Macaca fascicularis: one gene and its partners. The main gene of each other region encodes a partner of the protein of the gene in region 2 in a complex. Links are inferred from orthologs where the notes say so. Each region holds a gene or a part of one and is shown on either strand. Other genes may lie near its edges.

Region 1 (2,790 bases), on a different chromosome or scaffold from region 2:
TGCGTTTGTCTTGTCTTCCTAACACTACTATGTGATATCCAAGGGCTACCTCTAACCTCACCCGTTTGTTACCTCTGCCTGATAATGATGGCACTTTTAAGAGATGATGAGCAATAGCAGTCCAGTTTATGGATACAACCCAGCACTCGCAGACAGGTTGATTCCTGGGTCATTTGCCCAGACTTTGAGACATCGAGGCCGACCATCTGATATCCAGCCAGTGGGCTAAAAACACACATACTGAGCTTTGCTTCTAATCCTAATCTCTTTTCCCGGGAGGCCACCATAGAAGACTTAGATGTGCAGGGTGGGGAGGGCAGGTATATATGGGCCAGTTGTGGTAGGGAACTAAAATTGCACTTTAGATGTTGATTCAATTCACTTTATATATATGTTCACACTTTCATGTCTTTGTGACAGAAAGATGATTAAGATTCTTTCTGTCCAGGCTTAAGAAATACGATGACAAACAGCAGGTGCTACATGCAGCAGGATGCTGCCCCTGTTCTGGATGGAGATATGGCTTTAAGAACTCTTTGCAGTACGATTAAAGTCACATATTTCTACAGTCCCAAATATGCTTAGCGTTTATTTGCAGTACTTACAAAGTTTAGTAAAATTCCACATTAAACCTACCATGATCTAAGATGTTTGGTAACATGGCCTCTATGCAATGCTGAGCTGTTTCTTTTACTCGGTACAGATTTGATGAGAAGAGAAATTCCATGGAGCCAGGCTTTCCCAAGCAAATAGCTGAAGACTTTCCAGGAATTGACTCAAAGATTGATGCTGTTTTTGAAGAATTTGGTAAGAGGATACTTACTGTGTTGGCCATGGAGCACTTGAAACATCTATGATATCAGAGACAAGAGGAGCATTGAAACTTTTTAATAACAAGTGTTTTTTAAGACCAGTTCCCTCCCCAAAATTTTGATTTGCCTACATTTGTACTCATTATAGAACTACTTCACAAAATAACTTGTTTGGAACCATAAAGATAATTAACAAATCTTGCTACTTTATCTTATACATGCATATAAAACCGTGCATGTAAAATCAAAGTGCTCCAGTGTCACTTACTCACATCTCGAGCTAACATGTGAAGTCAAGCTTGAATTTCAGATTACCATGTTAGTATAAAAATCCCATCAAATGGTGTGGCCAGATTTAATATTGGTTAGCTGGCCTTCTCCTCCACCCCATCTTATTGCTGCTACTAATTCCCAGGGAGATCTTTTTCTGTCTTTCCTGAATTGTCAGTCATTGCCCATGCCGGTCATTTGCAAATACTTACCTTTCCATTGCCCAGAGTTTACTCAAGGTAAGTAAGTGGAGGCTGATGATCTTTATTGAAAGGTAACCTGATCACCATGTTTGCAGAGTGCTAAAGGGTTCTCTGGTGTTTTGAAATAGTTGCTGTGCTTCCTAGGCTGCAATGCAGGAAAAAGGGAGGAGGATTTTTGGGGAAGAAAGAAATAGGTGATTAGAGTTTCCAAGCAAGTGGAGAATTTATCTGATCAGAAGCAGAATAACCTTGTAACCTGGAACCTGGCTTTGTTGTTAGAGTGAGCTGGCATGGAGTGCTGGCTCCATCCTTCCTTGCTGAGTAACCTTGAGCAAGCATCGGAATCTGTCTAAACCTCAACTTGTTCAACCTGTAAATGGAGTTAGACATACAATCTCATAGGGTTGTTGCAGAAATAAATGAAAATAAATTCATGTAACAAGCTTGGCATAGTCCCTGACATAAAGTAAAACTCTATAAACACTTTCTATTTTTAGTTCTCTATGATTCTGAGTTTTGTATATTGTCAAATGTCTTTATTTGGAAAAAATGTCTTACTATTTCCCTTGTCTGTATTTGAAGGATTTTTTTATTTCTTCACTGGATCTTCACAATTGGAGTTTGACCCAAATGCAAAGAAAGTGACACACACTTTGAAGAGTAACAGCTGGCTTAATTGTTGAGAGAGATATGTAGAAGGGACCATATGGGAACTTTAAATGAAGCTGATAATTCTTCACCTAAGTCTCTGTGAATTGAAATGGTTTGTTTTCTCCTGCCTGTGCTGTGACTCAAGTCATACTCAAGGGAACTTGAGCGTGAACTCTGTATCTTGCCGGTCATCTTTACATTATTACAGGGCATTCAAGTGGACTGCTGCTTAGCTTGCACCTTGTCATGTGGAGTGATCTTTCCCAAGAGAAGGGGAAGCAGTCATGTGCAACAGACAAGTGACTGTATCTATGTAGACTATTTGCTTATTTAATAAAGATGATTTGTCAGTTATTTTATCTTATTGTTGTATTTGTTTGTTTCAAGGGCAAGTTGTTCTCACAATTTGGGCACATTATGGGCTGAGCATGATCAGTCAGTAGACTAGAGTCTCCACGGCTTGGGGTTCACAATGGGTTCCAGAACTGCAGAGAATCTACAACTTGCCCTCCTCATGAACCCTGCAAACGGGATGCTTATTTCTACCATCTAGACATTTGATGTGTCCTGACATACTTAAGGCAAAAAATCGAGAGGGATCGTGACATTGTAGAGCAGGCTCTAGGAAAAACTGTGAAGGGAATCCTGTACTCATAGCAAATTGCCTCATTTGCACACCTCATTTTACAGGATGAGGAAATCAAACTTGTTTTTGATCTTTTCCTTTTACTTATAAATTCCCTCAGTACAGGTCCCTCCTCTGACCTAGCAAGCAAACTTCCTCATATCTACCCTATTCACACGTTAAAATATACTTTTGTACTCATTTTGTATCTGCCTGTGCCTGGAGGTAA
Region 2 (4,029 bases):
CAGGGACAGGCGATCACACGGTATTGGACACAGGGCAAGGGAGCAGCCAGAATTTGTAAGGGAGCAGTCTGGGGCTTGGGGAAATAGCAAGAGAGATCAGGGACAGCCCTTAGAGTTTGGGAGCAGCCACAGGGACACAGAATAGCCAGAGGGAGCAAGGAACAAGCCCACGATTTAGGGAAGGGCCGCGGAAGGATCTCCCGTTGGAGGTCAGGGTCCAGGTACTCACTGTGCATTCCTCACAGCCAACAGTGTAGGTCTTGGTGAAGCCCCGGCGCTGAGCTAAGCTCAGACTGTTCCAGGGAGCCACGAAACTGCAGGTGGTGATGTGCAAGAGTCCGTCCTGCAGTTTTCCTAAGGAGAAAGCGGGGGTAACCGACAAGCAGCTTTTGATTGGCTGAGCCGCCAGGCTAGCAAAGGCCCGGCCTTCTGATAGGCTGAAATTGGGATGGTACCCATTTCCAGTGGATCCATTCCCATCAGAGCCTCGCCCCCTCGCTGTTGCTAGGCCGCGCCCCAGGGACTGGTTGGCGTGGCACAGGGCGCGGGGACGGTGCCTCACCAGCAATGAGAAACTCCTCGCTGCGGTTGTGGGACCTGTGGAAGTATCCGCAGACACTCTCCATGGCGGGGGTGTAGACGAACCGGATGTCAGCGGCATCCCCTAAGGCCTGGAACCCTTTATACATCTGTTGATGGATGAGGGGAAGTGTCTCTTTTACTGACATAATCCTCCCACTCCAGGTTCTTCCCTGAAGTCACATAGCATCCCAAGATCACAGCCAACTTTCTTGCACCAACCAGTGGCCAGAAGTTTCTGTTTTGACCAGGAGGAAGATGTTAGAAAATGCTGGGAAAGGGGCGGGAGCAGGGGATACCTTGGTCATCTTGATCTCATAACGCTGGTATAAGGTGGTCTGGTTGACTTCTGGTGTCCCCACGAACTTGGCCCTGATGACTGCAGGAGAGGAGGGAAATATGAGTCAAATGGACTGCATGAGCCAATAAAAATAAGATCATCATCATCATAATACCAGCAACGTGCATACATAAATAGGGGTTATTGGATGCCAGACAGCACACTAAGTGATTTACACATTTGTTTATTGATTCATCTGTATGTTGAGTGTCTCTCTTCGCCAGGCACTGCTTAAGCCATTTTCATCTATTCATTTGTTCATTTACTCCTCAAATATTTGGGAGTGCCCAGACATTCCCACTGGCCCATGCTATATTCAGTGTTGAGCCCAATCTCTCTCCCAGACAGCAAGATCCCATTGCAGTGGTTCCTGTACCCATCACCATTGTCCTGAATATGGTCTTCCTTACTGTGCTATAACAACTATCACCGAATATTTTTCTCTTTAACAGGAAATCAGGAGTACTAAGGGGCAGGGGTTAAAATTTTAAACAAGATGGCCAGGGAAGGCCATCCTGAGAAGGTGACATTTGAGGCAGCCACCCATGTGGATACCTGGGGGGAAAGTGTACCAGGCAGAGGGAGCAGCCAGCACACAGGTCCTGTGGTGGGCTTGGGCACGGAGTACTCAAGAAAGTGTGAGGATGCCAATGTGGCTAAAGCAGAGGAAGAGCAGGGGCGAGTGGAATCATTCTAGAGGTAAGTGCCATCGTGAGCCCCACCGGACTGAGAGGGAAACCAAGGCAGAGTGTGTGGGCTGAGTGGGGTGAGGACTCACCGAGGTCGGAATTGCAGAAGGCCGTCTGTGGGTGGGGTAGGACACAGGTGCAGGCCCTGCTGGGGGCTATCAGCCACAGCAACAACAGGATGCCGGAAGCCAGGGGCTCAAAGGGGGCCATGGTGGGTTCTGTGGGGAAGAGGGATGTCAGGCAGGCCCCAGCCCAGCTGATCTGCTGACCTGGGCAGGTCATCCACCCCATCCTGCCCCGGGGCAGCCTATGGGGGGATTAGGGGACTGGATTTGGGCTTCAGGGGTTGGGAAGCTTGGGGATTTTAAGGGGATTGGGGAGCCCAGAGGAATTTAGGGTTTAGAGAGTTGGGAAAGTTTAAATTATTGAGGGACTGAGTTGCGGGGTTATGGAGCTGTGGCACTTGGGGGAGAAGGGAGCTAAGGAAGTTTGAGGAATGAGGGGATTGGGGAATTCTGGAGGTTGAGGAGTTTGGGGGTGAGGAATTTGGGATTGGGGGCTGGAGGGGTTTGGAGGAGGCAGAGTTTAGGGGTTGTGTGTATTAAGAGATATAGGGGGCTGGGGGAATTTAGGGAGGTTGAGGAATTTGGAGGAGGTTGGGGATTTGGGGAGCTGGGGGAGTTTGGAGGTTGAAGGGGTTGGGGGAATTTGGGGGCTTAAGGCAATGGTGATACTTGAGGAATCTGAGGGCAAAAGAAGTTTGGGAGCTGGGGAGCTGGGAAACTGGGGATTGGGGAGATGGGGGAGTTCAGGGAGCTGCAGGGGTTAGCAGTGGGGATTTAGGAGGCGATGAGGGAAAGTGCTGGATGAAGGGATTTGCGGGGGATTTGGAAAGCATTTGTGATACTAGGGGGTCATGGGTTTGGGAGAGTTGGGGATGGATGTCAGGGGTTCTAGGGAGTTTGGAGCCTCAGGGTTGGGAAAGCGGTTCCAGCCTCCGACCCTCTTCCCCCTAGACTAGCCCAGGATCCTGGTACCCGCAGGCCAAGCTGAGTAGACAGGCATCTAGCACGGGAGTGCACGGGCCTGGTGGCCAGCACCCAAGCTGCGGCCCAGCCCCGGTTCCTGCTGGGCCATCCCGGGCCCTGCTTACCTCTCGTGTCTCTCTGGGCACTGGATCTGCGGCGATGGCGGCAGGGCCTGAGCGCTAGAGGATAAATGTCCACGCTAGGGGCGGGGGTGGCAGCGGGTGCGGAAACCACAGGCCTCCAGGCTTCCTGGATGCATTACTCATCCACCCACCATCAGTGCAGAAGCCAAGGGGCGGGCCGACGAAAGGAGATACACCCTCCTCCTCTCCCACCCCCCTCCTCTCCCTCTCCCTGGGCCTCGCCCGGGCCAGCCCCCTCCCCCACCTCCACGTCAGTCACTATTCCTTCCAAGACGCCTCAGCGGAGAGCTTAGAGGCCGCATTCCCCCCAGCCCAGTCCCCTAAAGTCTCCAGAATCTATCCAATCACCCACATCCCCCAAGCTCCCTATGGCTCAAACCCAAATGAGTTCAGCCCTTCAACATTTATTGTGCATCTACTGTGTGCCAAGCACACAAAAATCCCTTGTTTTGTATGTCTGACATGCTGGTGAGGGGTGGCAGAGAGGAAACAAATTAAATAGCAGCAGTGGAGGGAGATAAGGCAGGTGAATGGGGAGGAACACAAAATGGGGAAACTGAGGCATGGAGTGGTTAAGTGACTTATCCAGGATCATAGAGTCAGTACATGGCAGAACTGAGACTGGAACTCAGGTGGCCAGGAACCAAAGCCAGGGTCTCAAAAAACACAGGCAAATAGCCGGCATTTATATAGCACCGACTGTATACCAGGCACTCAGCATAGTTTATCTCACTCAGAGCTCACAACAAATCTCTGAGATGGGTACCAGTTATTATTCCCATTTTACAGATGAGGAAATATGGGGTATAGAGGAACTGAAGAATTTTCCCAAGATCACAGGACATGGCCAGGATTCGAACTGAGGCTACCTGGCACCAGGATCGTAACTCAGGAGTGGCACCATCCTAGCAAGCAGGGAATGGTGCGGGTGAATGAATGAGCATTGGGAAGGGGGTGGCCATGAATGAAGGTGAAAGAAACAAGTGAGTGGGTCAGTAGAAAACTAGTCCCCACCCCATCCTGCCCTGCCCCTTCCCCACGGACCTATACCCCTGGTGGAGGGTGGGGTGGGGCAATCCTTGCCCACCAGCTTTTTGACAGTGCAGGAATCTTCCCTGGGGTTCTGATTAACACCCTTAATTCGAGGAGGATAGATCAATAATAATAATTGTAGTGATGATGGCAGCCGCTTATTGAGCACTTTCTGTATACTACGTGCTAAAGTATTTGTATAAATTATCTCATTCACT
Region 3 (3,500 bases), on a different chromosome or scaffold from region 2:
AAGTCTAGGGGAAAAATAAAGATGAGAAATTAAAGAATTAAAATTGAACAAAATGAAAATACTGCATATCAAAATTTGCTGAATAAAAAAGAAGAAATGGTTATTTATAGGTATAAATGCTTATATTAGAAAAGAAAAAAGTTACAAGTTAATAAGGTAAGTATCAAACTTAAGCTATAACAATAATAACAGGATCAATTAAAAGTAAACAAAACTTAAGGCAACAATAAGGATATGAACAGAAATTAGTTAAATGGGAAATCAAAATATAATATAGAGGATAAATAAAGCCAAAAGTCAGTCCTTTGAAAAGATCAATAACATTATTACATACATTATGAGATTAATAAAGAGAAAAAGAGAAAGGCAAAAGGGTTCAGTATTGGGAATGAAAAAGAGAACAAAACTTCAGCAATAATTCAAATTACAACAAAATAATTTTCCAAAAACTTTTTACTGATGGATTTGAAAACAGACAAAATTGGCAAACTTTTAGAAAAACATGTTAACAAAACTGACTCAAGAAGTAATAGAAACTCAAATAGCATATTACCAATAAAACAAATTGAAACCGTAGTTTAAAAATCTGATAAAGAAGCCGCCATACCTGAATAGCTCCATTAGTTAATTTATCTCTCCCTGAACTGATACTACATCTTACTGATTAAAGTTTTATAACACAGGGCTTTTCTCCTTATCTAATAAGATGGGTTCACCAGGAGCCTCCTGGCTATTCTCTTTGCTGCCGTATAAATTGTAAAACTAATTTGTCAAGTTCCATGAAAAATCTTTTGGCATTTGAAATGAAAATGTCTTGTATCTATAGATAAATTGACATTTTTACTATATTGCATTTTTTATCCATGAATATGGAATACCACCTATTCACTTAAGAGGTCTCTAAAATAAAGTTTATAATGTTCTTTGTACAAATTTTATTTAAGTGTTAGCACAAGGTCTTGCAGTAATCTAAACTTTAATATAATGGAGAAAACTCATGTCGATAAAATTTTCACACTAGGATTTATTCCAGCAAGTTGAAAATTCTTATATAGTACTCACCTTTAAAAATAAAAACAGTATCCCTGCTATTAACTTCATATGCAGCATCCAAATATGACGGGAGAGAGGGCCAAAATGTAGAAATCAAATGAAATTCAGGTTCAGAGTTCCAGTGGGATCTTCGCCAAAAATATCTGTAATACATAAAATTACTTGCAATTGTCTTTCTCCTTTAGCTATGTGAAAAAAAGTATTCTTTTAAAAAAAATCCATGCTAATTCACGCATTCATAGAAGTCTATATTAAACCATCCTCCTGCATGTGATTCCAGGGTAATAAAATTGATGGCAGGACTTGTGACTGGTTCCAATAAAATTATTTAGCTTGCTTCCACTCTGAAAGTCCATAAACAGTGTGTATATTATGTCCTAATATTTTAAAAAATATTATGTGCGTATTGATGCTTGTATATGAATAGAACATTTCTGTAAAGAGTTAAAGGAAATTGGTAGCAGTGGTTACACATGTGAAGGGAGCTGGGGGACTGTAGACCAAAGACTAGAGAGAGATTGTTTAACTCTGTATCTTTTGGCAGTGTCTAAATATTGTGCCATAAGCATATATCACTTTTTTCCAAAAGTAATTAATTTAAGTAGTAGCAATTTTTAGCAAAGGGAAAGATATCACCCTGTTTCTAAGGATTCACCAGTGCTTTCTGAAGAAGTTCCATGATTTATATTTTAAAAAATGAACAAAACAGATATAACTCCCTGCCTTAATCAAGCTTACAGTCTAGAATCATCCCTTGTAAGTGTAAAAAATGACCTGGACAATTCTAACAGGATGTTAAAAATTCAACAAGAACTAGATCTGAATGATTTTAAAATATAGAGAAAATTTTGTATTTAAAAAAATCTCTGTCAAGCAGAAAAAGTAACTACCGGGTACTAGGTTTAGCACTGGGATGACAAAATTATCTGTACAACAAACCCCCATGACACGAATTTACCTATATAACAAACCTGCACATGTAGCCCTGAACCTAAAATAAAAGTTTTTTAAAAAAAACCTCTATCAAATTTCTGTTTTCCTTTCTAAGCACTGTACATCAAAAGAATAGACAGAAAAATATAATTTTCTGGTCTGACCTGTCTTTAAAGAACAGATATTCTCCCCTCAGAGTGCTGATGGCATCGAAGGACAAAGCAGGGTCGCACTTGGCTGGCGTCCTAGATCCTGAAGGGACGGATTTCGTGGGCACCAGGGGTTCCTCAGTAGAGGCAGGGGGAGGTCCTAAAGGAGACAGATTTGGGGATGCAAACATTTAAAAAATGTGATGCATCTGTCAATTTGTATGCCTTTCAAACATTCTCAAAGTGCTTCAAGCTAAATCAGAAATACTTTAGGTAGCATTGGAAAGCTTTCTTGAGGACTGTCGTTGCAGAGCTACAATGCCTAATTTTTCCAGCATCACTCACCATAGAGAGACTGAATGCCATTCACATCATCTTGTGAAAGGTGGAACCGGGTCAGCTCTGTGAATGAGTTGTAGAGTGGGTACATCAAAGCTTCAGTGTTGGCTGAGTGAAAGAGCCCCAGGGAGTGGCCAAGTTCATGAGCAGCAACGAAGAATAAATTGGTGCCTGTATGACAACCATAAATGTTCAGAATCCACCAGCTATTTATTCCGTAAATACACATACAGAACATATGCCAGCTGTGCAGGCCATCCTTGAAACCACATGGTCTTTTCAGTATTTGTGGATTGGTTCATTGATTGGCATATTCCATACTTTATAGAAATTAATGTGTTTTTCAAGGTTGACTTTAAGTCAATATATAAGACAGTTTTTCACCGTATCGCTCCCTAGATCCCTCCTTGGTCAGGAAAACTAAGACACTTTTCCTATATTGACAAATGAGAAGCATTATTTCCAAAGATTTTTTTTTTGAAAGGACAAGACTAATATCCATGTCAATAAATATAACTCTTCGTTGTCTAAAAGTAAAAAGTCATTGTTCAAATTTAGGAACATGTGCCAGTTGCAACCTCGGTTAAAATTAATCATATAACATTTATGTTGCTCCCCAAACTTTTAGGCCACAAGACTGTAGTTATTTCTTGTGGAGTTTAGTCTGATTTGCTCTTCCTCCTCTTCATCATACTCAAGTAACTGTTTTTTTTTGAGACAGAATCTCACTCTGTTGCCCAGCCTGGAGTACGGGTTCAAGCGATTCTCATGCCTCAGCCTCCTGAGTAGCTGAGATTACAGGCACGTACCACTATGCCCAGCTAATTTTTATATTTTAGAGATAGGGTTTCACCATGTTGGCTAGGCTAGTCTCGAACTCCTGGCCTCAAGTGATTCACTCACCTTGGCCTCCCAAAATGCTGGGATTACAGGCATTAGCCACCGGTGCTCAGCCATAATAAAATAATTTTTGATTGTCAAAAATCTTCCCAGTAATAAGTGCCATTGGATGTGTACAATCTTTAG

Evidence for each region. The genes of interacting proteins can lie anywhere in the genome.
Region 1: the proteins of TIMP1 (region 2) and MMP3 are in contact, whole or in part, in a crystal structure (PDB 1UEA), measured with the Homo sapiens proteins. The link is inferred for Macaca fascicularis from reciprocal best matches to the Homo sapiens genes TIMP1 and MMP3. Residues at the interface, in NP_003245.1 of Homo sapiens: Cys24, Thr25, Cys26, Val27, Pro28, Pro29, Val52, Thr56, Leu57, Tyr58, Pro87, Ala88, Met89, Glu90, Ser91, Val92, Cys93, Thr121, Cys122, Leu156, Ser157, Pro159, Gln173, Leu174, Gly177, Glu179; in NP_002413.1 of Homo sapiens: Phe100, Thr102, Phe103, Phe171, Tyr172, Gly178, Asn179, Val180, Leu181, Ala182, His183, Ala184, Tyr185, Ala186, Thr207, Thr208, Gly209, Thr210, Val215, His218, Glu219, His222, Phe227, His228, Tyr237, Pro238, Leu239, Tyr240, His241, Ser242.
Region 3: the proteins of TIMP1 (region 2) and MMP10 are in contact, whole or in part, in a crystal structure (PDB 3V96), measured with the Homo sapiens proteins. The link is inferred for Macaca fascicularis from reciprocal best matches to the Homo sapiens genes TIMP1 and MMP10. Residues at the interface, in NP_003245.1 of Homo sapiens: Cys24, Thr25, Cys26, Val27, Pro28, Asn37, Leu57, Tyr58, Pro87, Met89, Glu90, Ser91, Val92, Cys93, Arg98, Thr121, Cys122, Cys155, Leu156, Ser157, Ile158, Gln173, Leu174, Gly177, Ser178, Glu179, Lys180; in NP_002416.1 of Homo sapiens: Phe170, Tyr171, Gly177, His178, Ser179, Leu180, Ala181, His182, Ala183, Tyr184, Pro185, Tyr191, Asp205, Ala206, Ser207, Gly208, Val214, His217, Glu218, His221, Phe226, His227, Thr231, Tyr236, Pro237, Leu238, Tyr239, Asn240, Phe242, Thr243.

The regions. Positions count from the first base shown.
Region 1 is NC_088388.1:101,854,026-101,856,815, reverse strand, and holds the end of MMP3 (stromelysin-1), read left to right. Parts: intron 1-703; coding exon 704-807; intron 808-1,867; coding exon 1,868-1,968; 3' UTR 1,969-2,290; downstream 2,291-2,790. UniProt on the Homo sapiens protein: Metalloproteinase with a rather broad substrate specificity that can degrade fibronectin, laminin, gelatins of type I, III, IV, and V; collagens III, IV, X, and IX, and cartilage proteoglycans.
Region 2 is NC_088395.1:47,679,030-47,683,058, reverse strand, and holds the start of TIMP1 (metalloproteinase inhibitor 1), read right to left. Parts: upstream 2,801-4,029; 5' UTR 2,762-2,800; intron 1,827-2,761; 5' UTR 1,819-1,826; coding exon 1,698-1,818; intron 959-1,697; coding exon 879-958; intron 690-878; coding exon 563-689; intron 355-562; coding exon 230-354; intron 1-229. UniProt on the Homo sapiens protein: Metalloproteinase inhibitor that functions by forming one to one complexes with target metalloproteinases, such as collagenases, and irreversibly inactivates them by binding to their catalytic zinc cofactor.
Region 3 is NC_088388.1:101,791,334-101,794,833, forward strand, and holds part of MMP10 (stromelysin-2), read right to left. Parts: intron 2,646-3,500; coding exon 2,481-2,645; intron 2,296-2,480; coding exon 2,151-2,295; intron 1,197-2,150; coding exon 1,063-1,196; intron 1-1,062. UniProt on the Homo sapiens protein: Can degrade fibronectin, gelatins of type I, III, IV, and V; weakly collagens III, IV, and V. Activates procollagenase.